Elephas maximus indicus: one gene and its partners. The protein of the gene in region 2 interacts with the protein of the main gene of each other region in a pairwise test. Links are inferred from orthologs where the notes say so. Each region holds a gene or a part of one and is shown on either strand. Other genes may lie near its edges.

The links.
Region 1: the proteins of LNX1 (region 2) and DCTD interact in a two-hybrid assay, tested with the Homo sapiens proteins (2 studies listed by BioGRID and IntAct). The link is inferred for Elephas maximus indicus from reciprocal best matches to the Homo sapiens genes LNX1 and DCTD.
Region 3: the proteins of LNX1 (region 2) and KCTD6 interact in binary tests that used the Homo sapiens proteins (3 or more experiments, as listed by UniProt). The link is inferred for Elephas maximus indicus from reciprocal best matches to the Homo sapiens genes LNX1 and KCTD6.
Region 4: the proteins of LNX1 (region 2) and KLHL12 interact in binary tests that used the Homo sapiens proteins (3 or more experiments, as listed by UniProt). The two-hybrid records come from large-scale screens. The link is inferred for Elephas maximus indicus from reciprocal best matches to the Homo sapiens genes LNX1 and KLHL12.

The regions. Positions count from the first base shown.
Region 1 is NC_064839.1:80,975,632-80,982,469, forward strand, and holds the start of DCTD (deoxycytidylate deaminase), read right to left. Parts: upstream 3,007-6,838; 5' UTR 2,902-3,006; intron 1,341-2,901; exon of another isoform or gene 1,235-1,340; intron 1,009-1,234; exon of another isoform or gene 853-1,008; intron 1-852. UniProt on the Homo sapiens protein: Catalyzes the deamination of dCMP to dUMP, providing the nucleoside monophosphate substrate for the thymidylate synthase/TYMS.
Region 2 is NC_064823.1:107,994,617-108,002,001, reverse strand, and holds the start of LNX1 (E3 ubiquitin-protein ligase LNX), read right to left. Parts: upstream 3,010-7,385; 5' UTR 2,685-3,009; intron 1-2,684.
Region 3 is NC_064838.1:63,072,951-63,079,992, reverse strand, and holds the start of KCTD6 (BTB/POZ domain-containing protein KCTD6), read right to left. Parts: upstream 3,013-7,042; 5' UTR 2,250-3,012; coding exon of another isoform or gene 2,190-2,249; 5' UTR 2,062-2,189; coding exon 1,834-2,061; intron 1,428-1,833; exon of another isoform or gene 1,272-1,427; coding exon of another isoform or gene 1,167-1,271; intron 591-1,166; coding exon 562-590; intron 1-561. UniProt on the Homo sapiens protein: Probable substrate-specific adapter of a BCR (BTB-CUL3-RBX1) E3 ubiquitin-protein ligase complex mediating the ubiquitination and subsequent proteasomal degradation of target proteins.
Region 4 is NC_064836.1:11,645,661-11,653,375, forward strand, and holds the start of KLHL12 (kelch-like protein 12), read right to left. Parts: upstream 3,007-7,715; 5' UTR 2,848-3,006; intron 1,060-2,847; 5' UTR 1,015-1,059; coding exon 820-1,014; intron 1-819. UniProt on the Homo sapiens protein: Substrate-specific adapter of a BCR (BTB-CUL3-RBX1) E3 ubiquitin ligase complex that acts as a negative regulator of Wnt signaling pathway and ER-Golgi transport.

The DNA of each region.
Region 1 (6,838 bases), on a different chromosome or scaffold from region 2:
AAAACTTCTGCTTCAAGCTCTAGACTTAAGTGTCGGCTACGGTGAAGTGCAGCCCTGCCTCAGACAAGGGTGCAGGGAACTTGTGGGTATAGGGAACCACGGTTACCTAGGATTCAAAAACAAACAACAATAAAAACACAGTGCCCCTTCAGTAGATCTGGGCTCACAGGGACCCTACAGGATAGAGCAGAACCGCCCCATAGGGTTTCCAAGGCCACAATCTTTAGAAAGCAGGCTGTCATATCTTTCTCCCAAGGAGTGCTGATGAGTTCCAACCACCGACCCACTGTGCCATCAGGTCTCCTTTGCCCACTGATTATGTTGCCTAAGTTCTGGGACACCTGACAGCCTTCTTTCCATAATGCACACAGGACTGGGCTCATCTCCCATCTGCCTTAAAGGTCAGTACCCACTAATCTCTGTAGGGTGCCAAGTTAGTATCTACTGAACAGAATTATGGAGCACTGGTGGCGCAGTAGTTAAGAGCTCAGGCTCCTAACCAAAATGTTGGCAGCTGGAAATCTACCAGTCACTCCTTGGAAACCCTATGGGGTAGTTCTCCTGTGTCCTATAGGGTCACTAGGAGTTGGAATCCACTCTACTGCAATGGGTCCGATTTTTTTCTCTGGGGAAAACCCTTATCTCAGCTTCTCTAGCGCTCTTCCCAGCGTGCCTTGTGGATCTCCACGGAGCATCCATCTTTCCTCCATTCATGCTTGCTTTTTTCTGTGTCTAATCTGCTCTTTTCTACCTCAAAAACTGAATTATTGGGTAAAACAGAAGTGCGCGACGAGGCAAGAGAGAAAAAAAAAAGCATATTTCTAAAGCGCAGTCATTCGCTGGGCGCTTTACCTGTTTAATGCTCACTGGAGCCCCATAAGGACTGAAATCCTGCAGCACAAACAGACGCGGGAAACCGAGGCTCAGGGAACTGGAGCCAGTCGCGGGCCTGGGCAGAGGCCGTGCTCCTCCCAACACCCCGAATTCTGACGCAGTCCCATCCCACTGCTCAGCCTCTCCCCGAAACCACCCACGTCTCCTTCCTAAGCGGGAAAGCTCGTCCAGGCCGCGATGCACGCCGTGAAGATAACCGGGGCGCGGCCGGACACCCCGAGCTCCCGCCCGCGCTCGTCTGACTGTTTAACGGGCAGGGGTGCAAAGTCTCCGTTCGCCCGCCACCCGGGAGCCCAGTTTGCAGCGCTCCCGGCGGCATCGTGGCGCGCGGGCACCGTACCGGCTCGGCGGGCCCGCCCGTGCTCCGGTTCCACTCCGCGAGTCTGCAGAGGGCCTCTCCGCCTCCCCGGCCAACAAGGACCCGCGCTCGGAGCAGGAAGTGCGGCGAAGAGGCGGGGCCGCGGGGCGCCGGAAGCTGGGGCGCTCTAGGAAGGGTGGCGCGTGGCCGGGGTGGTGCGGTCTGCGCCCCGCGAGCGCTCCTCCCCGGGGCCCGTGGCCCGCGCCCTGCGATTACTTCCTCCCGTGGCCCGTGCCCTGCGAGCGCTCCTCCCCGGGGCCCGTGGCCCGCGCCCTGCGAGCGCTCCTCCCCGTGGTCCGTGGCCCGCGCCCTGCGAGCACTTCCTCCCGTGGCCCGTGCCCTGCGAGCGCTCCTCCCCGTGGTCCGTGGCCCGCGCCCTGCGAGCACTTCCTCCCGTGGCCCGCGCCCTGCGAGCGCTCCTCCCCGGGGCCCGTGGCCCGCGCCCTGCGAGCGTTTCTCCCCGGGGCCCGTGGCCCGTGCCCTGCGAGCGCTCCTCCCCGTGGTCCGTGGCCCGCGCCCTGCGAGCACTTCCTCCGGTGGCCCGTGCCCTGCGAGCGCTCCTCCCTGGGGCCCGTGGCCCGCGCCCTGCGAGCGCTGCTTCCCGGACGCCCGTGGCCCGCGCCCTGCGAGCGTTTCTCCCCGAGGCCCGTGGCCCGCGCCCTGCGAGCGTTTCTCCCCGAGGCCCGTGGCCCGCGCCCTGCGAGCACTTCCTCCCGTGGCCCGCGCCCTGCGAGCACTTCCTCCCGTGGCCCGTGCCCTGCGAGCGCTGCTTCCCGGACGCCCGTGGCCCGCGCCCTGCGAGCGCTCCTCCCCGGGGCCCGTGGCCCGCGCCCTGCGAGCGCTGCTTCCCGGACGCCCGTGGCCCGCGCCCTGCGAGCAATTCCTCCGGTGGCCCGTGCCCTGCTAGCGCTCCTCCCCGTGGTCCGTGGCCCGCGCCCTGCGAGCACTTCCTCCGGTGGCCCGTGCCCTGCGAGCGCTCCTCCCCGGGGCCCGTGGCCCGCGCCCTGCGAGCGGTGCTTCCCGGACGCCCGTGGCCCGCGCCCTGCGAGCGGTGCTTCCCGGACGCCCGTGGCCCGCGCCCTGCGAGCGCTGCTTCCCGGACGCCCGTGGCCCCGCGCCCTGCAAGCGTTTCTCCCCGGGGCCCGTGGCCCGTACCCTGCGAGCGTTCCTCCCCGGGGCCTGTGGCCCGTGCCCTACGAGCGTTCTTCCCCAGGGCCCGCGCTCTCCTGAGCGTTCCTCCCCGGGGCCCGCGCTCTCCGAGCTTTCCTCTCTGGGGCCCGCGCCATCCCAGCGTTCCTCCCTGTTGCCCGCGCTCTCCAAGCTTTCTTCCCTGGAAGCCCGGGGCCCGCGCCCTCTGAGCGCTCCTTCCCGGGGCCCGTGGCCCGCGCCCTCCGCGCCCTTCTCCCCGGTGCCCGGGGCTCGCCCCCCCAGCGTGAGGGCCTGAGCCCCGCGGAGCAGGAAGCACTCCTCGGCTCGGGCACCTGTCCGGGAACGGCTTGGCTGTGGGCGGCGCTGAGCCCGGCCTCCCGGGGTCCCTCGGCGTCCGCCTTCGCCGTGCTTTGTGCCGCAAGCGTTGGGCGCTGGGCGCGGGATGGACTGCCCGCACTCGGCTCTGCCTTCATTTTTTTTTTAATGCATTTTTAAGATACCTGAGTGTAAGGCAGGGGTCCTTCTGATCAGTAGTGGTGAGGTTTTCTTCCTACTGTCGATTCCTTAAAGCTGGTGCTATAAATACTCGTTATGTGTGCGTCAGAGATGACCCGCAGAGCCCAGTACAGTGAAAGCGGAAGGGGATGGAGATGAGGAGGCCTGGTTTTGGTCTCTGGAATGAACCTGCTGTGTGGCTGTGTCCTCGTGGGGAATCATGATAGGTGGTGGCGTGACAAGTTTTTAGGGGAAGGGCTTGTTTGGGGGACGCGGACTGGGTCCGGCGGGGAGCGCCTGGAAGGCCGCCTCAGCTTCTATTCAGATTGAGTTTGGAAGGGTCTGAGGGGTTTCCCCAAGTCGCCCACCGCCTCACCGCGCACACCCTTCTTGGAACTACCGCTGATAACCGTTGCCGGCTATAAAATTGTGCATGTTTTTATATAATTATTAAAGAGATCAGAAAAACATGGCACAGGGCAATAGAAAAGACCATCAGTGCCATTTCTGAGGTCACAGACTCCAAGAACGCGTATCTGATTTTCTGGCGCTTCGGCAGTCTATTCAGCAGCCTAGGCCCTCAGTCTGGTGGAACGCTGTTTCCTGCACACAGAATGGCAGAAGATGCCGTTTTACACCCAAGGCTGGAGGATACCGTGCGCGTTCCGTAAACAATGGCTCCTGTAATAATCGTGAGTTCTGATCTGCACATCCCGGCTCTGAGCTGCTAATCCAAACAAAAGTTTGTTAACTATTAATTTAGCCTAACCGAGGAAGAATGATGGGAATAAACACTTGGTTCCATCTAATTTCTCACTCCAGCGGACACGTCATTCTTCATCCCCCTGGTCCAGCCCGTACCTTCGATAATTGAATTCTGTGCTGTTCTTCGTGGGTGCCGGGAAAGCAAAAGGAGAAATACTTCATCGTTAGCTGTAGTTTGTTTTTTTTCTGTGATGAGACTCAGGCTTGAAAGAGCTACATAGATTAAGATGATGATTTTTAATGTCAGGTTAACTTTATTTGGCTGTCCTGTTGCACAAAAATTTATTATATTCCCCCTCCCAATTCCGCCGCTCGGGCCTTGTCACTCCATCTGTAGTCTTCGGGTCTTCGTAGATCCATTTCCCTTCTTACCAACCTACAGCCAGTACATCACCAATTGCCGCTGGTCCTTCAACCACAGCATCACTAAGCTTTCTCCCTTTGTTCTGTAAAGACTGTCGTACGTAATTTAGTTACTTCTCATCCTTCTCCATTTTGGTCAACACACACGCTCCCCTCTGCAATACATTCAACATCATGCTTGCTGCAAACATTACTCTGAATGCGCCCGCGTTTCACTAGAAGTCCCTCATCTCAAAGATGACATCATTCATAATGCAGGAAACTCTCCTGATTCGTGGTTTCAGAACTTGAGGTTTCAAATATTCTGCGCCAACAGCCAACCCAGGCAGCTGAAGGAGAAGATGCATTCCTTGGTATATCTTGCTCATTAACACCTTGTAACTCCAAACGTAACTGTAGGTGTTATATCTCTCTCGTTAATACCTCGTATTTTGGTTTATAATTGAGAACCTTTCTGCACTTACCACAGATACAGAGGTTTCTTACAGTTTCAGTCGGATTTACAGCACGTTTTCTCCAGCAAAGAGGGGGGGCTTCGCATAGGGGTGAACACACCAACGCTCATAAGGATTATTGTCACAGGCTTTGCCTTGGCTCCTCTACTTGCAGGCCGGCAGGTTAACTACATCTGATCTCTAGCCTGGCCTGGAATAATTCAGGAATTTGGAGGTGGGGATCCAGATTAAAAAGAAGTCAAGGTAAGCTGCCTCTGGGTCTGCCTCAGAAGGGGCTTTGATGGTGTTCATAGGTGTCTGCCCTGCCAAGATACTGCTGACCGCTTCTCCTACTTCCCCTCCTTACCAAGGAAAGGATGTGACTGTAACCCAGGAAACCAGGTCAAGCTGGGGGTCTGGAAAGTAGCAGTCTTTACATCAAGTTTGTAATGGGAGAAATGGCACAGGTGTTGGATCAGACCAGACTTTAAATTCTAATTCCCTCCAAGTGACCATCAGAAGGTACTTAGATTCTTTGTTTCTTCATCTATAAAATAAACAACAGTTATTCACTCAATTCATTTTTATTAATTCTCTACTATGTTCTAGGTGCTGGGGATACTACAATGGGCAAGACAAACTGGTTCTTGCTCGCACAGAGCTTACCTAGGGCCCTTCTCTCTCCGCTGCCACAAATAAAGTCCCAGTAAATGAACCTCGTTGTCGCTGGCTCAGTTAACGTCATAGGATAAGTTGCCTGTTAGAACATCTTTGTTCTTAATTCCATGGTTATCAGGATGAAAAAGTTCTTTTCATAGCTCAGCAACTGCACTTACAGGGAAAGTACCACTTCTACTGTTTTTCAAAAGAACAACTCTTTGTTTCCAGTCAGCAATCCCAGTTAAAGGGAACTGTTTAAACCTTAAATAAGGGGATGACTTATCTGCTAAACCACAAAAAAAGCAAATGAAAGTTTTAGAATAAAAGATAATTTAAATATGTGGCCTTGTCAATTAGAGCATGAGGTCAGTTCATGTTTAATGAAAAGACTTCAAAAGGACTAAATATTCTGTCAAAAAATTCAGAATTTGTATCTATTTTTACCGTCATGAATCTTCAAAATTGTAATGATGGTCAATGAGGAGATGTTAACTTGGCATATCCCCAAACTGGATGCTTTGCATATTGTATATCAATAACTGTTTGTTGACCAAACAAATAAATTACAGTGAAACCTCCAAAAGCTGAAACCTGTGTAAGGCAGAAACGTCTGAGAGGAGGAAAAGTCAAATATTTTCCACTAATAGAGAACGATAGAAAAGTGGTAAGACTGCACCCTACTGAAGGCAGAAAACTGTGAGACCCAGAAAAACAAGGCAGTCACATTGAGTCCCGGCTCTCACCCGTTTCACTGTAACAGAAATAATCACTCTTTGCCCAATTTTTCAGAGCACCTAATACATAAAGATAAGTCTTCATCTGAAAACTCTACTTATACCTCTGTACCATGTTTTTATGCGAATAACGCACACACTATTTTTTTTGCCAACCTGCGCGACCCTCTCATGCGTGTTGTGCTATGCGCGTTATGTGTGTGAGTGCGTTATTTCTCTGGGCAAGTTATTTGCCGAAAATGCGGTATCTCTTTTATCTCATTGCACTAAATAGGCCTGGAGAGACATTTGATAAGTGACACTTGGGGCTGGTGAGCCCAGGAACAAAGGGTGAGAAGAGTTGTTTACAAGACATGTGCAAGATGTTGGTCTTGGCGCACAGATGACCATCTCACCTACCAGAACTGAAGCCAGAAACGTGCAGCAGGGAAGGCTGTTGGCTTCTTGGCGGTGTGTCAGCACTTCGCATGACTTGCTTTTCCTCTGCAGAGCTGAACTTGTCGCCTCTCTCATACATAACTGGTTGAATTTGATGGAAATTACATATCTTATCACTTCTTAAAAGAAAAAAATAAAATGTAAGTCTAAAAGAAATGGGCAATTTTCTTGTACCATTTTCTATTTCTGTGTAAGTTACCAAGTGCCAATCATTCTTACTTTTTAAAATTCAGATTTGTCAAGCAGCATGTAAGCTTTCAGTGTCATACAAGAAAAGATAATGCTTCCTGGGGAACAGTCACTTATGCTGGTTCTGTAAAAAGGGCCTAGCAAAAGCGAATTTATCAGATTGCTGGTTTTACAGAAATATTAATGATCTCATTAAATTAGACCCTCTACTCTGGGGTCATCGTGGAATATACTAAAGGGTAATCAACGAGGTGTTACGGTTCTGGATATAGACTCGCCACTCGTTTTGCAGTGTGTTTTATCTGCTGGAACAAGGTGACTGCCGAAGAATCACCGTAAATGAAAGCCCCTGTTAGACT
Region 2 (7,385 bases):
GTGACCACAGGTGGTTACAGTCAGGGGGTTGATCAAATAAGGAAATATATTGAGGATAATGGGAGCCAGGTATCTCACTGTCAGAGAAAAAGGGAGTTACAAATATGGAAAGGGACAAAACAAGAATGAACTCTGTGGTGTTGGATTGGAATTGGAAGCACCTGTGTGAATTTATGCTCTTCAATATGTAAAGATTAGTATAGAAATACACACACACACAAGTCTTAGCTCTGTGCACTGAGAGGGCTGAGAACAGCAATAATTCAGTTAGCAAAGAACACGTACTCAGAGGCCACTCTGGGTGGAGAAGGATTGGAGTGTCTGCCGTAGAAGCAGAATTGGGGTATAGCTCCTGCCTGTTGGTGCTCTGCCAAGGTGTGGGAGAGGGTTGGGCTCACCCCGCTCATTTAGTAAAGACTGGAAAGGTTCCTGAATAGCTAGATAGAGATAACACATGATATCTGATCATGCAATCCATTCGACTTATCTGACGATGGGCTCATCTGCCAGCACCATGAAGTGGAAACACCAAGGTCTCCTTTGTCATCTCAGAAAAGTCTGAGGGAATAACTAAGGACCAGCTCTTCAGTGTTTACCTGGAACATGGATTGTGCCAGTCCCCGTGTTCATTTGAGGCTTGGTCTAAAGTGGTGATAACAACTACTGCTTATTGGGCATCTTCTGTGGGCCAGAAACAGAGAGAGGTCTTTTAGTGTTCTCTTTCTAATTATCACGATGATTCTCCAACTTATGTTTTATAGAAACATCTCCATTTTATAGAAGAGAAAATGGAAGCTCAGAGAGATTTAGTAACTTGGTTAGGCTACGCTTCTAGGAGGGGATGACTCTGGGATTAGAAACCAAATCTGAATAGCTCTTTTCGCTGTTCTGTGCCGTCTCCCTTCACACAAGGCCTCTTGATCTGAAGCCTCTTCCACCTTGCCTCTCGCACCCAGCAGGCTTCCCAAACCCCCACCCCAACTCCCACAGATTAGTGGTTGCCTCCTGTGTGATCCCAGAGCACCTATCAACTGTACATAGTTGCATACAACTAATTTACAAAGCTTTGATTGAAGGCTGGGCCCCTCTTCTCTGTATTCACGGCATCTTGCCTGGACCCAGGATTAGAAGCAAATAAATTAATAAACCTCATTGCCGCTGAGTCAATTCTGACTCATATTGACCCTACAGGACAGAGTAGAACAGCCACATAGGGTTTCCAAGGAGCGGCTGGTGGATTCGAACTGCTGACCTTTTGATTAGTGGCTAACTCTTAGCCACTGCACCACTAGGGTAATAGTTTGCATTTATTGAGCACTTGCGAGCCTCTATAGGGTCACTATGAGTTGCAATCGACTCCACGGCAGTGGGGTTGGTTTTGGGTTTTTTTAAGGAGCCTCTGGCTGGTGCAAATAGTTAAGCACTTGACTACTAACCAAAAGGTTGGCAGTTTGGACCCACCCAGAGATGTCCCAGAAGAAAAGTCTAGCAATCTGCTCCTGAAAGGTCACAGCCTTGACAACCCTATGGAGCACAGTTCTACTCTGAAGCACATGGGGTCTTCATGAGTCGAAATTAACTCAATGGCAACTGGTTTTTAAAAATTTTTTTAGTATGTGCCAGCAAAGGCTTCACGTGCATTGTCTCATTTAAACCCTGAGACAACTTTAAGACAACTACCACTACCACCAGCTGCCATGTGCAGCTCCCCGCTTCGATGGCTCTGCACTCCTTGAGTGTATAGCTGGGACCACGGCCTGGCCCAGTGCTAGGCACAGGAAGCAGAGTTTATCAACATTCATCCAACTGGATTCAATTCCCGGGAATGGAAGTAAACAGGATACTGTGAAGATGTATTTCTGCATTTTTCAAGACAGTTCCAATTTTTAAAATTCCATCCTCTCATTGGACCATTTATCAGAATATGTGCCAATGAATGTAGCCTGATACTTGGCTAGGAACATACAGTCACCATTTTAGTGAAAAGAGGCAGGAGTTGACACATGTCGGTGGCTGAGTCACAATTTCTCTGGACCTAAATTTCTCCATGGGTAAAATGGGACTGATAATACCTGTTCCTATCATAGAAATGAAACAAAATGTGTATGTGCCTGCGTTTTGAATATTGATGAGAATAAAGTTGTATACAATCCAATTGCCATTCACAGGGTTGCTTACAGTTTTACTAACCTGTTTGGCAAATGGTTTCCATTCTTGAAAGTAAAGGAAGAAAGACGTTTCCGCGAAGACCAGTGCGGGGGGAAAAAATGAGCATGCGAAGAGCAAGTGTCCTGAGGCCTTTCTGGTATTTTGAAAAAAGATACAACTAGGTATTTCTGTCTACTGAACTCTCCTTAGGAGTTTCTCAATGATACAAATGGTTAATTACTTGACTACTAACCAAAAGTTTGGTAGTTCGAACCCACCCAGAGGCATTTTGGAAGATAGGCCTGGCGATCCGCTTCTGAAAGGTCACGGCCTTAAAAACCCTACTCTGCACACATGAGGTTGCCGTGAGTTGGAATGGACACAACGGCAACTAACAGCAAGGCTCTCCTCAGAGAATTTGTGTGTGTGTGTGTGCCCATCTGATAGAGGTGGGTGTGGGAGGCTGGCATAGTCAGGAGTCAAATTTTCTCAAATTGTATGAGATTCTACCTGGTGGAGAAACCAGGCAATCTTACCTTTGCTGCCTGTGGATCAGTTCCCAGGTGTAAGGGGCCTCAGGTGACAGTTCTTTTGGAAGCTGAGGTTTTCTGACTCCAGAGTAGTTCGGGAAAGCTTCTTTCTCTTTCCTGCACCTCGTCTTCCAGACATATGTGCAGACCACTCTGCCTTCGTATACTCAGAGGTTAATCAGCACATCCCCTGTCTTTTCTGCAAGGTTTGGGCAGAGCAGATCCATGATCCCGAGAGAGGGCAGCCTGTCAGGGCGCCACTTCGGTTGGAGAGCAGCCCCTCAGAGCAGCCGCTCGTTCGCATCAGTGACAAATCCATTTGGATGGGGCTAAGCCTCCCTCCCTCAAACTTCCTTCTGCTCTTGCCAAAATGCAGGACACTTTTGTTCACCTTTAGGGCTGCCAAGTCAGGCCTACCGCACCCCTGGATGTTGTTTTCCTGCAGGCAATGGGAACATGAGCTTGGAACCAGGGAAAGGAAATCAACAAGGAAACAAACACTGGCCACTGCACCTTCCGGCCATCGTTAGGTCTGGGACATCATCATGCTCAGAACCAGTCCCCAAATAAGCCAGGGCTTCCAACTGGACCTGTCTCAGAATCCTGCTTGTCTTTTTGTTTTTAAATGTGCAAAGAAAAGTGCATGAAATTCTATATCAGGCAAATGAAACAATCCTGAATTTTTCCAGTACCTTGCCAAAACTTCCAAAGATTTTCCATAAGCAGTACCACGCATCACTGGATGCTAGCTAATGTTCGTAGACAAAGAAAAGTGACGAGCAAGTTTAAGGGTGACACTATGAAAGATTTTTAATTCTAAAGATATAGGATTATTGTTTAAATAAGAATGTCTTCTGTTTACTTTTGACCATCATCACCTTTAGCAGCCACATCTTTGCTGACATTTATTGTGTTTACCGAATGCCTGGTCCTATGCTAATTTCCTGATGTGCATTATTTCATTTAATTCTCATCATAATCCTATAATCACCATTCCCACTTTATAAAGAAATTGAGTATTAGAGAGATTAAACTACTGCAAAGTGACTCAGCTACTTAAAATTTGTTAAATCACATTTCTGGACATGGGCTTTTGAAGTCTTGCTTTTCACACACACACAAACACAGCCAACTGAACCTGTTGCCATCAAGCCGATCTTGGCGCACGGCAACCCCATGTATTACAGAGTAGAACTGCTCCATAAGTGTTTTTTTGGCTGTAATCTTAACGGAATCAGGTTACCAGACCTTTCTTTTGTGGTACTGCTGGGTGGGTTAAAACCACCAACCTTTAAATTAGTAGTTGAGAGCAAACTTAGCCACCCATGACCTGCTTTTCCCACCAGGTAGGCTTATACACCTGTGTGGGAACAGCTTCAGGGATAGCCAAAGACATTGCTTCAATAAGCTACTAGCTGCGGGAAAAGAATTCTAAACAGCATCACTGGTCATCAGTTACATGGTCTCCCTCTGGTGATGTGCGTTGGTGTATTTCACATGTAGTGTGTATGCAGGAAAAGTATAATCCAGGTACCCAATGTCCTCTCTAGTCAAAGGTGGTGCTGCTAGCTGCTGTCTGTCTCAGGCCCTCCGCTGTGATTTTGACTTACAAACCAGGAAGTGCCCTGTAAATCTCTTGGCTCTGGGTGTGTTTTGGTCATGGCCGGGTCACTAGTTTGTCCTTTTGACAGTAGGCGCCTAGCAGTTACAAGCTTCTTTTAATCAACAATCCATGGAATGAGATTGAGTTCCTGGCCTGGAAACTTCTGCCTGGTGAGAAGAAACCAGCCCATGTGTTTTTAGTCTTCAGTCCTTAGGTCACACTGCAACCTTTTTGGGTTTTATTGTCTTCATCTTTACTTCGAATTGTTAGCAGTTAGCTCTCCTGTGCCATGGTGGTTACCCCGGGGCAGCTGGCAACTGGTCAAAGGAAAGTAAAACCGTTAATTAGGAGACAGAGAGATGGCTCCCAGCGGGGTCCAAGTTGCCTGTTTTCATAAACATAGGAGTTGCAACATCAGGGCAATTGCTCCCCTTATTTACCCTTGGATCTGGTTTGGTGGATCTTTGGGGTATTTTGCCCTAGGGCCACATAAACCTCTCAACTTGAGGTTGGTCAGCTTTTCATTCTTTTTAACAGAGACTATAGACTTATTTACTGGAGTTATAGTAATAAAGAGGAAGATGGGCTAGGGGCTGGGCATTTAGTTTGGATATCAATTCATTTTTCTTTTCCTGTGGTTTACATTTAAGCGTAGCATCTAGATATGTTTATAGACTTTGGTCTTGGAGTTCTTTGATGAGGAAGGCAATTTATAACAGTCAAATGGGCCTTTTCAACCTTATCACATGAAATGAAAAACCAAAATTTTGGAAAGGGGCTGACGTAATGGAAGCTTTCATGTTCAGCATCTGCTCCACAGCCTTCGATCAGGGAACAAAGATAGATGTGGGTACTGCGGGCAGCTCTGGGGTTTTCAATGCAGAAGGGTAAGGTAGGTAGATTTCACTTCTCTCTCTGCTCCTCCGAGCATGTGGATCAGTACCGACTGATTGGCGTCCAAGACTTGAGTCCATTCTAGGATTAACAGCAAACATATAAACGTCCCCCAAAATTTTTGTGCACGATCATGGAACCAGTGCAGCTGACTGTTCAAAACTGGAAACAGAGAGAAGTCACAGATGAAAACAGGATGTATTAATTTCACTTTACAAATGTGCCCTCTCCAAAGCCAGATCACTTACACCATGGTGACCTGGATCTGCTCAAACTCCACTGCTTTTGAGCATCATTTCCATTTGGTGTGGGATATTCTAGGTGAGTGACAGATCTCAACTCAGCAGAAAGGTCCAGATGTACTTAAACATTTTAATAATTATGGGAAAGCAAATTGTCTTCCCCTTGGAAGGAAAGATGGCCCGTTTTTAAAGTATCCTGGAAAGATAGCATGCCCAGTTATTTGCAGAGAAAATTGCCTTATTTTGGGTCTATTTTGAAGGAGGAATATTAAATCTGAGAAATGCTGAATTTTTTAGAATAGCCATTTCTATCTTTAAATGGTGATAAAGAAACTAGAACCTGAGTTAGCTTTCTCTCAGGTCCCTTTTCACTCTTGTGAGATTGATCAGGGTTAAAATGGATTTATCATAATAAGAGATAGAAAATAGTTTTTTTGAGCAGTAATGGACTGATTGCTTTCCTTTCTCTCCTCATAAGAATATAACTTATAGTTTATACAAACGGGTAGGGCAACAAGGGGAGGAGTCCAAAGCCCCACTCCAAGGTTTTAAATAACATCTTTACGCCAACAATCCCCATATTCCTATCTGTGGGTCAGATCTTCCAACCGCTTGCTCCACGACTCACAGCCATTTCATACGTCACACTTTCAAAGCCAGCTCTTCATCTTCTTCTCCTGCTCCTCCTCCTGTTCCTCCATCTCAGTAAATGGCTTTTTTATCCACCCAAGTGCTCCATCTGGAGTTGCCATTATGCGCCTTCTTTCTTAAACCCCACATCCAATCCATAAGTTGTTAGTTGCTGTTGAGTTGGCTCTGACTCGCGGTGACCCCCATATACAACAGAATAAAACGTTGCCCAGTCCTCGGCCATCTTCACCATCATTGGTATGCTTGAGTCTATTGTTGAGGCCACTGCGGTTTTGAATGCGTTTCATCCTAGGGGGCTCATCCTCCAGCACTATATCACACAGTGTTAAGGTGTGATTCATAGGGTTTTCATTGGCTAATTTTTGGATGCAATGCATCTTTTGCATTCAAAAGACATATTGCATTGGGCAAATCTGCTGCAAAAGACCTCATTAAAGCCTTAAAAAGCAAAGATATCTCCTTGAAGACTAAGGTTCACTTGACCCAAGCCGTGGTGTTTTCAGTTGCCTCATATACATGTGAAAGCTGGACGATGAATAAGGAAGACCAAAGAAGAATTGACGCCTTTGAATTACGGTGTCGGCAAAGGATACTGATTATACCATGAGCTGCCAAAAGAATGAATAAATCTGTCTTGGAAGAAGTACAGCCAGAATGCTCCTTAGAAGCAAGGATGGTGAGATTACATCTCACATACTTTGGACATGTTATCAGAGGGATCAGTCCCTGGAGAAGGACATCATGCTTGGTAAAGTAGAGGGTCATTGAAAAACAGGAAGGTCCTCAACGAGATGGATTGACACAGTGGCTGCAACAATGGGCTCAAGCATAGCAACAATTGTGAGGATGGCGCAGGACCAGGCAGTGTTTTGTTCTGTTGAACATGGGATCACTATGAGTCGGAAGTGACTTGATGGCAACTAACAACAACAACAATTTTTGGAAGTAGATCACCAGGCCTTTCTCCCTAGCCTGTCTTGGTCTGGAAACTCCACTGAAAGCTACACTCCATGGGTATTTGACATACTCATGGCGGTGTAGCTTCCAGCATCACAGCAACACTTAAGCCACCGCAGTACGACAAACTGACAGACAGGTGGTGGGATCCATAAGTACATCCTGTCAATTCCACCTCAAAAATTTACATCAGCTTCAACCACTGCCCTCTGTTTCCATTATCACAGGGGTCCAACTGACCGTCCATCATCTCTCACCTGGGTTACTGTAGGCAATCCTAACTATCCTGCCTGCTTCCCTTCTTGCCCCCAGTCCCTCTACCAAATCTATGTTCCACACCACAGCCAGGTTAGATTTTTT
Region 3 (7,042 bases), on a different chromosome or scaffold from region 2:
AAATAGTATTGATTGGTTTAAATTGTATTTCAACTTACAGAAACAAACAAACCAAAAAAAAAGCAGAAAGATTCCTGGTTATCCAGTAGCTGGGTAACCAGTCTCTGAATTGATGACTATTGGGAACAGCTCAACAGACAGCTCCGATGAGTGAAATAAAACATAATTCAAAAGGGTTTCCGGAACCGCTTCAGTCTTTCATACTAAATCATTTTCTGGAGCTGCTAACAATTAGAAAATGATTCATTTGCTCTTCCTCTTCTCTCTCTTCTGGCACAGTCTCCAGTGGAGGGCTTAATGAGAAGTCAAATGAACACAAGAGGCAACAGACGGAAGATCTTGAAGTGGGCATCAAACGGGCCTGTTTTACTTGGTGATGGCAAAGAAAATTCTATTGAAAATTTGCCAGGAATGAAGATTAAGACGGTAACAACGAAAAAAAATTTTCCTTTATAGTGACTTTCCTTACTAAAGATCTTTTTAAAACACAGTGAATGCAACTAAGCACAAAGGATTATAAAGTTCAAAGAAAGGCTTCTGACCCTGAAAAAATCAGCTCACCTGAAAAGATCTGTGCCTGCAATTCTGACCTGCGGTGCAAATAAAAATTCCTGTGGAAACGACCCGCTGGCCTTTCCCCAGGAACGTTAAGTGGCACTGAAAGTTTGAACTTTGTAAGTTAATTATGACTACAGAACTTCTGACAGAGTAAATGTTAGCAGGTAATTAAGGAAAACACATAGTGCAGAGTGTAAAAGCAATTGTGAAAAATTTATAAAGTAGCAAATTTGAAGAATGCACAATTCAACATGTTGATAACTTAGACAATAACCTAAGAATCCCTAAATGCCATTCTCCTCATCCCTGCAGAATTGCAATGACCGGCTTTATGGTTATGAACAGCTAATTTAACACAAATATTTTGGGTTTATCATTTGTGCTATAGACTCAGAATTCCCTAGGGCAAAAGTCCTACTCCTGCGTTAACAACTTCTTCCTTACAACAGACATCTCCAAATGTGAATAAATAATAATAAAAACTCCTAGCTACCACCTTCCCAAGTTTCCAGAGGTCCTTTCAAAGCCTTTCTATTAAACTCCTGGGTCTGGCATTCAGAATAGAAGACTAAGACAAGTTCTCTCCCATCTATACATACTTCAATTACCTTTGTGTTGAGTTTCTCTGTTCTTGAAAGGTGGGAGTTTGAAAGTGAAACACTTTTTATAGTAACTAGTTCAGCGACATCTAAAGGAGTCTTTGGGGCTAACATTCACACAGGCCAGCTCGAGTAGCCAGAAGCACAAGGAGAATGTGATTAGAGTGTTAAGTTATCCATAGCCATACCACTGCAGAAATAGATATTTTTCTAAAACGAATTCATTTTTCTCTCTCCTCTATCAACCCTGTGGTCTAGAAGAAAGCAGCTCTAGATAAAAAAAAAAAAAGTGGCCTTAATACTAGATAGCTGAGCCACCCCAGTCACAGAATCATAAAATTCCTTACTCTAAGTTTCTTTGAGATGAAGAAACAGGATAATATCGACTTCCTAAAAGGAATTACACCATGTTAGGCACAACCACAAAGGCAAAAACTGACCTACAAGGTAACCAACAGATCAGGATCCGCATTACCCTGCAAGGTAAATCACTGTCTACACGCACCTTCTTCTTCAGGGAAATGGAGAAAATAAGTGAGATCATTAATACAAAGGCACTTGTAAACAGATAAGTATTATACAAGTGGAAAAATACTAGTGGCAGTAGCATCAACTAATTTTCTGTGGTAAATTGAGAAATCAGAGAGTGTGAACACAAGTAACTTAGAGCATTTACATGGAAACAACAAATACGGAGGAAAACGCTTCTTAATCTGCTTTCCGTCGCCACTAGGTCCTTCTTTCCCCCAGAGGTCCAGAAAAGAGAACCACCAGTAAGGAGGAGGATCCAGCTTCTCCAGAGACCACCAGACAGACGTCTGAGCTCTGATGATGGCAGGAACTTCTCTAAAGCATGACTCAGGATTATCTCTGAGGGAAAGCCAGATCGAAATAATGTGTGCATTCCAATTCAAATAAACCCTAAATATCAAAATCCAAAAGACACAAGAGAGAGACGCAGAGAAGGATTCACCCTAGGATTTCTGTCGCTAGTAATGCTTCGCTGAAAATGTCATTTATGAAAATCCTAACCTTACACAATTGAGGAACGGCACCCATGGCCACGCTGACCACTCGATCCTTGATATCCATCGGATTACACAAACTGAAGTAGTGGTTGGGGCTGATGTTTTCAACCAAAGAGCCAATTCCCCCAATCTGCCAACCCTGACTACAAAAAGATTATTTTCCTTTCTACACCTTCGCTCATCTGGAAACGTCTCAATCTTGGGCTCAGGTCTGCGCTAAATGCTGTTCCTAAGTTCTTTCCTATCACTGAATCATTCGTGTCATGCATTTGTGACACAAGAAATGAACATGCCAGGAGGGATGGGAATGGCTAGGTGACCCCAAACATTCTTCGTCAAACCAGGCCACCCCAAACCTCTTCTATCACGAAGTCCTAAAACTGTGTTCTAGAGCCGGTAGACTTGAACAGAACCCTAACTTCAGAGGAATATCCAAATAGGATCTGTCACGCTTCGTCTTCCCAGTCCTACCCCCAGACCCAGACCCCGCTACCGTCAGCCTGGCGGGCGGTTCGGGGGCTCCCGATTACCACGGCCATTTGTCACCCGTGACATCAAGCCTTGAAACACGCCAGACCCGCAAATCTGGGCACAGAGGGCTCAGCGGCACACCTGGGTGTCTCCGGGGCAGAAAATTCCCGAAGCCTGGGCTCCTACGCCTTAAAGTGGGGCAAGCGCCGGCTAATAGCCACTCCCCGCAAACCCATCACCCCGAGCAAACGCGCCGGGTCCCCGCCGCCCCGCAGGCGAAACCCCAGCCGACCCCGGTCCCGACGTGGGGCGGGCGATGCTCCGGGCCGGGTGGGGGCCGCACAGCACCGCGGGGACCCCGGGCCCGCCGAGACCCAGGCCCGGCCGCTCGGCCGCGGGCAGCCCCTCCGTGCGCTCGCGCCGCCCCGGGGCGCGCGGCCAGGCTCCCCGCGGTGCCCTCTGCGCCGCCCGCCATCGCCCGGCTCCGGACGCCCCCGCCCAGATTCTCCTCAGCCCGCTCCCGGCAGCTCCCGCGGGCTTCCCCTCAAGCCGGCCTTCCCGAGCCCCAGCCCCTCAGGCCCCGTGCCCGCCCCACTCACTGCGCGGCGGCGGCGGCCGGGCCGGGAGACGCCGGCGGCCCGAGAGCGCGAGCGCAGGGACGAGCGAGCCCGCGCCCGGCGGCGGCAGCGGCGGCGGCAGAGGGGACGACTGAGCCCGCACCCGGAGTTGCGGCACTAGCCGCCCGGCGCGGGCGGCGCCTCCCGAGCCGAGCCGCCTCGAGCGCGGGCGCCCCCCAGCGGCGGCAGTGCGCGGGAAGCCCGAGACCCGGGGGCCTGAGTTGCTCAGCCGGGCAGGGCCTAGGCGGCTGGGTCAGGCCGGCTCCGCCGCAGCCTCAAAGCCCCGCCCCGCAGCCCCATGGCTCCGCCCCATAGCCCAGAGGACCCGCCCCCCGCCCCGCCCCGCCCCGCCCCGCGGGCAGTCGGGGCTCTGCCCATCCTCAGGCCGGCCATTCACGGAGATTTGGTGGCTCCACGGTTGTTTCTCCTCAGTCGCTCCGTGAACATTTATAAGCCCCTGGCCATGGTGGCCTGGTGGTTAAGAGCTACAGCTGCTAACCAAAAGGTCGGCAGTTCGAAGCCACCAGGCGCTCCCTGGATACTCTATGAGGCAGTTCCACTCTGTCCTATAGAGTCTCTATGAGTAGGACTCGACGGCAACGGGTTTGGTTTGGTTTCGGACCATGTGCAAAACCTGGGGGTTAGAGGGGGGACCGACCACCAAGACAGAGGTGGATCCTAGCGAGGGGAGAAAGCAGACAAGACTGAAGGAAACAGAGAGTAAGCAAAATAATGACAAGTTATGGTAAGTGATAGGAGGGGTGTGATCAGAGGACTTAGATGAAAAATAAGGGGAAGGGCCCGCTGCTTCACATGCAGTGGCCAAGGAAGACATGGATGCCCAGATCTGTGGTGAGCCCCTCCTGGCCCTGACCTCCAGGGGGAGGCCACCCTTACTCAAGCAGCTTCTGGCTATTATATAATTACAGGTGTAATATGGGCTGTGAGAAAGCCCCAGGCCACCACAGCCTGGCCTGATGGGTAGGGCAGGGCAGGGCAGGGCAGGGCAGGGCAGGGCAGGGCAGCTAGGCCTGATGGGTCAGCATAGGCAGCCAGTTGGGGAGAAGGGCAGAGAAAAACCAAAACCCCTTGCAGTGGATTCCAACTCACAGCGACCCTACAGGACAGAGTAGAACTGCCCCATAGGGTTTCCAAGGAGCACCTGATGGATTCCAACTGCCGACCTTTTGGCTAGCAGCGAACTCTTCACCACCACGCCACCAGGGCTGTCAGCAGAGAAAAGAGTGCAAAGGCTCTGAGTTCTGAAGGAGCTTGGGAGCTGCCCAAGGTGAGGCTGGTGGGGGTATTGTCTCCATTTCACTAAGAAGAAAGACAAGGCTGCAGAGGTTGGGAAGCCACTTAAAGCCTCAGAGCGAGCTGGTCTCCAAGCATGGACTTAGTCCTCAGCCCCCTCTTCCCAAGTCCTGTTTCCTTCTTTTTCTGTCCCTAGATCTAGATCTCTGTGCTTTCCCAGGCCAGGCCAGCTATAAGGCTTTCGTTTTGCCATTTCCTCGTCTCCATCAGGACAACCACCGGCCTCAGAAGCTCATCGAATTGCATGTCTGGGTTTCAACTTCTATCACAGTCATATCTGATACTTGGTTTTTCTCAGAAAACTCAAATTGATAGGCTAAATAAATAACATGCTTCGGGAACATAATTGAGTGTTATAGTTATGCCGACATAATTGACGTGTGAAAAGACTACGTGAGGACTCAGGGAAATGCGTGTGAAAATAACCAGTACTCAAAATGTTACACGTAGTATAATTTTAATGTTAAAAACATAAATTTGTTGTTGTTGTTAGGTGTCATCAAGTCAGTTCCAACTCATTGCGACCTTATGTACCACAGAACGAAACACTGCCCGCTCCTGCACCATCCTTACAATCATTGTTATGCTTGAGCCCATTGTTGCAGCCACTGTGGCAATCCATCTTGTTAAAACATAAATATAGGTAGACAAAAATTTTGAAGGAAATAACACCAGATCATGGATCATAGTTCTCTAGGTTGTAGGATGGGAGTGTGAGGGACATTAATTCCTAATATTCTGAATTTTCTATATTTTCTTTCTTTCTTTTTACAAAAGCAAAACAATACTGAAATTACCTAGCACTCAAATCTTCAGGATTTGGTGCCACTGAGAATCCAGAATGTTCTTGGAAGAGTCACTTCCCCTCTTGAGGCTCCTGTTTTCCCAATTAAAGAATGAAAGAGATTCACTTTGGCAGTGTTTTTGTCACACCTGTTCCAAGATGAAGCCTTCATTGCTATTGCAAATTACATTTTTTGTTTATATTTTATAATTTATTGATGGCTTATTGAAATGTAATGGCTTTATATAATGACCTTGTACTCAGCAAACTTGATAAACTGTTCTTTTTAGTTATAATTAGTTTGCAGGTTCTCTTGAATTTTCCATGTAAATAATCAAAGGGCCTACAAGCAATGACAGTTTGCCAGCTTAGCCTGTCCAGTCTTTATTTCCTTTTCCTTGTCTTACTGCACTAAGACCTCCAACACAGTGTTGAGTAGCAGTGATGATAGTGTACATTCCTGTCTTGTTTTTGACTGCTTCTCATGTTTCACCATGAAGTGTGGTGTTTGTGGTAGATTTCTCATAGATCTGCTTTATCAGAGTAAGGAAGCGCTATTGGGTTATTTAGTGTAATTATGAATGGGTGTTGAAATTTAACAAATGTGGTTTTTTCCCCCTAAAATAATGAATTGCACTCATGGATTTTTGTATATTAAACCAACCATCCATACATTCCTGGGATAAACTAACCCTGAGGGTGTATTTTTTTTTTAATATACTGTCAAATTCCACTTACTATTTTATTTCAAGTTTTTGCATCTGGGTGTATGAGTGAGTTTTGCCTACTCTTTTCCTTTCTTAGTCTCTCCTTGTCTGCTATCAAAGTTATATGAGCCTCATAAAATAAATTAAGGAATCAGGGTCTCTCTACTAGAGCAGCTTCTATAAGACTGGGGTTTGCTGTGGTTTGAATGTTCTGTGAGATTCTCCTGTAAATTGTCCGGATCTCTTGGTTTGAAGGGGTGGGGATGGAAAAGATTTACACTAGAAGCTGTTTTACCCCCACAGAGCTCAGGGCTGCTAGCCTGTGGAGGAAGCCAGCTTCTGGTTTGCAGCCATCCCTGTGACCTTGGGCCTCTCTTTTCCAGGTGGCCTTCAAGTGTCCAGGCTCCTGTGATGAAGAGGTGGCCTGGAAGGGGCTGTTTACTATGGCAGCTACATGGCTACAGATGCACAGGGGCCCAGGAGGACACTGAGGGAGGCAGCAGTTGGCAAAACCATTTGGTGCTTTCAGACCAAGATGGAAATTAGGCCTGAAGTTCTGAGTCTCCCCCCTTCCCCTCCTCCCAGCTCTCTCTTCATGGGTGACCTCACCTCCCACTTGGCAGGAAAATGATGCATCCTCAGTGGGGGCTCCCTGGCTCCCTCCCTCCTCTGCCCACTTCTGGGTTTACCTGCATTGTGCTGTCCTCTCATAGGATGGCTGAGGGATTCTGCCTCCTGTCCAGGTGATCCCCTCCCTGTCTCTGGGTCTGTCCACTTTCCAGCCCATTTACCTCTCTAGGCTCAGATCTTCAGCCCCTCGTCTCTCCAGGCCCCCTGCCACCAGCAGATAAACAGCTTCAGGGCTCTATCTGATGTTAATTTTCAGATCTCCCCCTCAACCCTATCTCCCCCCATCCCAGGCTGCTACTCCAGTGTCCTCCTCCTTTTCTTCTTTTGCTGTCTT
Region 4 (7,715 bases), on a different chromosome or scaffold from region 2:
CAGCCCTCACCTGTGTTCAACTTTCTAAGACTACCTCACAATATATTCAACAACCTTATTCTACTATTCAAGTGTTTTGCCAAGCAATTACTAAATAGTCTTCAGTCTTAATACTTTGTGAGCACTGCCGTTTTTCTTGTCAAGACGACCTTTTCCTAACTCCTTCTGTTAACTGTGTCCACTCCAGAGTCAGCATCTTTTTCCAGTTACACTCCATAATCCTATATAACCATTCATGAAATCTTCTTCCTCTCATTTGAAATTACCCTAAATCTATACTGGTAGAATGAATACTGATTTTCTTCACATACTGTTAAGAGGAATGGGATGAGGACTGAATCCCACTCCTCTTCTTTCCTTCCCTTCTCCCTACCCCTTGGTCAAACCAAAAGCCAAACCCATTGCTGTCGAGTCAATTCCCTATAGGGGCGCTATGAGTTGCTACCCCTTGGTAGTGACTTAAAAATACTAAAGTTTAGAAGGAGAAAAACAGGGAAACAACTTTATAAAAAGTACGTTAAAACCCAAGAGCTGACATTTGAGTTTTTTCCTATATGCTAAACACTGTTCTAATCATGTTACATGTAATTTCATATGATCTTCACAATAACCACGCTACTATGTATGACTATTATCCCTAGTTTAGAAATGAAGAAACTAAAGCACTCAGGTTAAGTGGCAGATCTTTTCCAGAGCCTTTTTATGTAACCACCACAATAGAGAATTCACTATTATATCAAACCTCTATATTATTCAGCAAAAAGAGACAACTACAAGATTACATGTGTCTCATTTGTGAGGAGATAACTTATTACTTACCTCACTAGTGAACATGGCACAGAAGTAATCACTACAAGCAGCCAGCACAATCCGATGGGCAGGGAAGTCTTTTTGCTCTACTCTCAATGTCACATCACAGAGGGTGTTGCTTTTCCTGAGGGAGTTCATTGAATTGAGGATGGATTTAGCATGAGTATTTGTCATTATGTCTTTGGGGGCCATAATGCCTCCCATTAAGCAATTTGGAGAAAGAACAAGAGTCGTCCTTGGATCCTACAACTAAAACAGAGGCAGACAGAGAGAGAAAAAAAAGAGCATATTTGAAAGACTGAAGGAAACCGAACATATTCAATTAACTTTAAAAATGAAGGAGCTAAGGGGAAGTTTCCTGAAACCGAACCCTCCACCAGTAGAGAGCACTCTTCCTCCTGGCATCACTGCCAAAACACAATCCGGCTACTACTTCAATTAAATGATCTTTTCTTTCTCTGAATTCCAATATCATTGAGTGCCCTTACCACTTGACATTATTATAATTAATACTAAACTGTATTGTAAGTAGAAAGATATTATACATGTCCTGCAGGTTTTCACAAAATCGTTGTCTCAAATGATAAAATTCCTTAAAGGTCTGATAACTACCAATATCCACAGGTAGATAAGATTTTAGAGACTGAGGATCCGGTTTTATAGTTCTGCTATCCTAGCAGGTACACAATAAACATTAATTGAATACAAGAAAAACTGTGTTCAACTTAGAGCAAGAATGGCCAGAGATGGTGAAAATGAACTTTTTCTAAAGAGTATGCAAAGAATTATTTATGAAGACCTCCAAATATATCTGGGTTTCTTATAATGAAACCTCAAATGAGAATCCAATGTCTACACTGCATAATGAAAACCATGCAAGCTACCTATGGGCTTTCAGTTGATTAATCAGTTGAAGCTGTTCAACAGAAGAGTCTGCCTACTCTATATTATTAGTAAATGTCCATCAACATTAAAAAATCAGTATGTGTACTTATTCTTCTATACCCAAAGAGCCTTATTAGAATTATAAACCTATCAGAACTCACTAGCTTTACTGGGATAGCTCATCACTTGCAAAGTTCACTGTATGCAGCTTAAGGAGTACTTTCTTGATTGTTGACAAGTTTTAGTCACACTTTTTTTTTCTTCTAGGGCAATTTCTAGGTAATGAAGTGGGATGGACTAAGACAGCTTATCTTTTTTGAAATCTGTAAGTTTCCGAAATGATCGGGGGGTGGGGGGTGGGGAAATCAATCAGTTGTCTTCCAGACACCACAACTCCCGACCATAACTTTTGCAGAGCAAAAACGAGCTCCTCACTACTTTCCTAAATTCTCATCTACTTCTGTTTATAGTTCGCATATAATTCTGTCAACACTAGATAATCCCTCTAATAGCTCTGCAAGATCCATTTCACAGAAAAGAAGGTGATGCGTCAAACGATGTTTTTAGAAGGATTTTCGTTTACTCAGTTTCAAATCTGGGGATATAAAAAAGGTCTGAACAAATGCCGATTTTATTGTGAAGATGGTGGGGCGGGCGGTTAGTCTATGACTGGGCTTATAGTTTTAGTGTAAAAATGACAATAACCCTAAAGCAGCGTGACCTTCCCTCTTTGGGATTCCTGTCCTTCAAGTTATCACCAGGGGAAGTCTCAGCCACATCCCTCACCCTCACCTTTCTGAGGTGACCTATTCTAGAACTTCCGTTAATATCTGAATAGAGAGGTTCCAACACGGGAGATTCGGGGAGGGGCTAAGTTCTGGCTATTCGAGGTGGGAGAAAAGAAAAGGAGGTCTCTTCCCCTGACAGCATCAGGAATAAGGCCGGCACCGTCAGGTGAGGTACCCAAGGGGCGCAGCTCAGGGCGGAGTTGAGAGGAGCGAGCTCGCTGCCAGAAGCCCCCAGTCTTCCTCCTCTCCAGGGCATCTCTCCCATTCCGCCTCGGAAGGAGACGACAGACGGGGGAAGGGCCAAATCCCGGAGCTGAGGGGTAGGAGGAAGAGGGCTGACTGCCGCCCCCTCCGCGCAACTCACCTCCGCTCCCGGGCCCACCCAATCGCTCCGGCCCGTCCCCCGCCCGTGGGGTGGAGTGGGGCGCGGGGCTAGCAGGCGGCTCAAGTGAAGCCGAACCGCCGCCGCCCCGACCCGGAGGCCCTGGAGCCGTCACTGTGATTGTCGCTGTTTTCGTCACCAGGTCCGCGCTAAGTGATGACGTATGCAGCTAAAGGCTCGGCCTCGTCCCACGGGGCTGCGTCACGTGAGGAGGCGGTATCACGTGACCTGAGTCTACCTGGATGTCCGCTTTCAGTGCGTTTGTTCTTCTGCTTGTTTGGTGCTGTGGAGCTGATTCGGACTCATAGCGACCCTATAGGATAGCGTAGAACTGCCACATGGGGTTTATTAGGCTATGATCTTTATAGGAGCAGATCGCTAGGTCCTTTTTCCCCCGTGGATTCTGCTGGTGGGTTTGAACCTCCTGCTTTTTCGATTAGCAGCCAAGCGCTTAACCATTCCGCTGTGAGGGCTCCTTCACTTTAGTGCATTAAAAAAAAAAAAAAAAAAACCGAACCCATTGCGGTGGAGTTGATTCCGACTCATAGCGACACTACAGTGCGTGTAGTGAAGGCGAAAAGGGAAAGGTGGGTGGGCGGGGTGTGGCAGGCAGGTGTGTGTGTGGAGTGGGGTGGGGGTTATGTACAGCTTTTCACTTTGGTGATTGCCGGAGGCTGAGCCCCTTCTTCCTAAGGTGCACAGGCAAGGACAACTGAGAGGATTCCAAAGATTTTTAAGCTCAGAATTTGATTGCAAACATACACATAGACCAACTTAACAGTTTCTACATGTACGGTTCACTGAAATTGATGATATTCTTTCAGTAGCACAGCCATTCTCAGCCCCCTTTTCTGAGTTATTCCTCCTTCATTAATATAAACTCAGTGCCCCCCCAAGTTTCTATCTAATCTTTCAAGATACTGTTGTCTATTTGTTCCCACAAAGATAGTTCTTAAAAGAGCATAATGCTCAAAGCAGACGTTTTTTTTTACTAGTTAAGCTAAACCGTTGTTCAGTTTTAAGGAGAATTCAGGGTACATTTTTGGTTTAAGGTTTAAAATTATCAGTGCTCCATAAAGTTTTCAAGGCTAGGCCTATCTTGGAGGCACCCCTGGGTGGGTTCCAGTGGTTAATGTTTACACCGTTCAGGGACTCCATATGTGCTTGTATATGTATAAAATGTATATGGAAAGGTATAAAATAAAGTGGTAACTGGTTTCTTTGGGGAGAGGAACCTGGTAGTTGGTGGGGGGGGGTGTGGGCGGGCAGGTGGGTGGAAGATAGTCTCTCTATATCTTGTTGGGCTTTTGTAATTTTGAATCCTGTGAATTAAAAATATGTACAATTTAAATAAAAATCATCCCTTATTTTTGGAGTACAAAAAGACACCTTAATAATATTGCCTAATTCCTGGCTACTAAATCAAGAATTTTTCTAAATATGGGAGGGAACTTAAAAAGATGGTTTCTTTAGAGTATGGCTACTGTTTTCCAGAGAATTAAAGATGGACAAGCAGCTAGCAAGAGTCAACACACTGAGGAAACCAGTTCAGGGTTCTCCTATTTTCTGCAGGGGTACAGTCCTGGCACATATTGGGTCTTTGAATCATGGGTTAACTCTCCTTCCCATACAAGAATGTCTCAGGAAAAGACAACTCTCAGTGCAGTCAGTGAGACAGAGAGGCATACTATGCTGACCATGCTATCTCATTTTAATCTGGATTATAGCTATATGTTTTTCTCAAAAAAAAAAAAAAATGTTTTTCCTCCATGGTCAAAACCAGGACGTGAAATCATATGCCCTGAGGGGTCTTAACCAAGTGACCATCTGCACCCCTGAAAATACATGCACTCAGGAAGAGTGCTGTCTGGGTGCTGTTGCCAACAAAGTATTTTTGCAAGATAACCAAACCCGTTGCTGTCGAATTGATTCCAACTCATAGCCACCCTATAGAACAGAGTAGAACTGCCCCATAGGGTTTCCAAGGAGTGGTTGGTGAATTTGAACAGCCAAGCTCTTAACCACTGAGCCAGCAGGAGGCCTTTGTGACCATGATTTAAGTAAGCATCCTGTGAATTCTCTGTAATCACTAACTACACTATTAGTAATCCGTAACCAGTGTGATTATTACAATATTTATTTTCCTGTAATTGCCTTCGCTGTGGTTTGGTTCCGTTTTTTACCCCATAAGAATACTTGTATAAGGAAACTGTCCTGGGATACCTGGTTCCATTTTCAGTAGGCTATGTAGTTTCCCAATTGCAACTGTTTTTAATTCTTAATAAACCTTTCTGTTTTAACCTGAAGCAGCGTTCAAATTTTTCTCTACAAGAATATTGTTTACAGGCATTTGGATATCTGACCCGATATCCTACAGCCCAAACTTATTCTAAGTTTCTAAGGTCCCTTCTTGAGGGTTGAGTCCTGATAAGGTAAGTCAGTAGCCAGGTCCCATAAATCATCCTGACTTTATGGTTTGGATACCTGTGGTGTTGATTCTGGTGTTCATAGCTATTGAAAGTTTCAATGAGGGAAAACAGGGACTTTGCCTTAAAACTCAAGATCAGGTAGATGAAGGTACAGGTCGAACCTGTAAACCAGTCAGGAAGAATATATTGTATTTTTGCAGGACGCACCTCTCTATTGCCTACAGTGTGTAACGAAGCGAAGGCCCCAGTTACTGCTCTGAAATTCGCTGCTGAATTTGCGCCAAGGCTGAGGCCACACCTCCTGCGAGCTGGTCCCCGCCCCTTACCAGGAACGGCAGAGGTCCTAAAACCCGTTAAGGTAGAGTCGATTCCGACTCATAGCGGAGGTACTAAGGCAGACCCTTTATTGGGAGACTGGCCTCTTGTCATCAGACCTTGGATGAAGGATTTCCAAAAAACCAAGGGCTTGGCTGAACTTTTCTTATACTGCAGGGCAGTCTAGGACGCTTCTCCCAACCTTCCTCTTTCCCTTCTTCACAGGGGTCAGATCTGCATCGCGCGGTCTGCTTTCAGCCTTGTCCTGCTCCCTTATTTTCCTTTACATACACTCGTATAGACATTTACCGTCATAAAATCTTTGCGCATTTAATTATGCCTTGGCGAATGCTTTTCCGGAGATCCGGATTAACACACTCAAGAATTTCTTCAGACATGAAACTAAATGGGCAGCTCCTCTCTGGAGGCGAGATGAGAAGGCAGAAGGGACAGGAGCTGGTTGAATGGACACGGGAAATCTGGCGTGGAAAGGACTGTGCTGTCACAGTATAGGGACAGCAGCTAGGGCCACGTAACATTGTGTGTATAAATTTTTGTATGAGAAACTCACTTGAACTGTAAACATCCATTTAAAGCACCCAACCCCAACCCATTGCCGTGGAGTCGATTCCGACTCATAGCGACCCTATAGGACAGAGTAGAACTGCCCCATAGAGTTTCCAAGGAGCGCCTGATGGACTTGAACTGTCAACCTTTAGGTTAGCAGTCGTAGCACTTAACTGCTACTCAGCTCCAGTTGGTGACTTCTGCTAACAGTTTCTGAAAGTGTTTCTTTTTTTTTTTTTAATTTAAAATTGTTCTGTATTAAATGTCAAGTAGATATAACAAACTGTCTTTAGTTTTGCAAATTTCTGAACTTCACGTAAATGCAATCATACCATATGCATTCTTCTGTAAGCTGCTTCCTCCCTCCAACCTTATTTCTGAGATTCAACCATGTTATTGCTTGTCACTGTAATTCATTCATTTTCACTGTTAATGTTTCATTATATGAATAAACCAAGACTTATTTTTCCATTCAACAGCTGTAGGCACTTAGGTTGTCTGCAGTATTTTGTTACTACAAACAGCTGCAATGAACCTTTTGGTATGTTTCTCAAAAAGTGTTTTCACCGTTGTGAACTGTGATCTACTAATGAGTTATGAAAACAATTTAGTGGGTCAGAACCAGCACTTTTTTTTAAATGAAGTAACCTGAGACAGCTATCAGATCCATCTCGTATTGTTTCATGAAATATCTGAATCTTTTAACATGGGCATATACTATATGCGTATCAGCACAGAGTGGTTCTACCAACGTATACGTCTGTACCTGCACCAACACTCAGTATTATTAGGCTTTTTAATCTGCCAATCTGGCTGGTATATCATTGTGGTTTTAATTTAGATTTCCCTAACTAACACTTGAGGCTGAGAGACTTTTCCTGTTGGCCTAGTTGGGTTACTTTTTAAAAGGATCATTTGCTATTCCAGTGGTACAAACTTGGCTGTTGAAGTAAATCCAAGTTTATTACCCCAGAAGACTCTCAACTGCCCATGTCACTGAGAAATGATTACTGCCGGGCCTTACGCTATCCAGTGAACAGAACCCGTGTCAAGTTGAGTGCTACAATTCACAAAGGCACAGAAAGGCGTGGAGTGACCCCTTTAGGAGACAACCCTGAGCAAGATCTATTATGTAATAGATAGATCTTTGATAGTCATAAGGGATCTATCCCAGCACCTTTGAGAACCTTCTAATTACTGAACACCACTAACTCAGTGCCCTCGAGTTGCTGAACACCACTACAGCATACTAATTTCCCTCATAAAATGTCTCTGCAGCAAGGAGAGAAAAATAAAGCTATATTGACGTGTTAGAAATACAGTTAGGTTCATTCACTGGCCAACATATACAGACCATCAGTGCTGGTGATTCAAACTTATACCTCAGCAGGAACTGAAATTTTTACAGGTTTTAGACCTTTGGAGTCGTGTGCAGAGAGCTGAGACCACACATGTTAAATATGTGAATGTCAAGTATCTTCTGTACTTTCTTTTATTATCATCAGTCATCACATCAAGTACATAGCAATGATAGCAGGT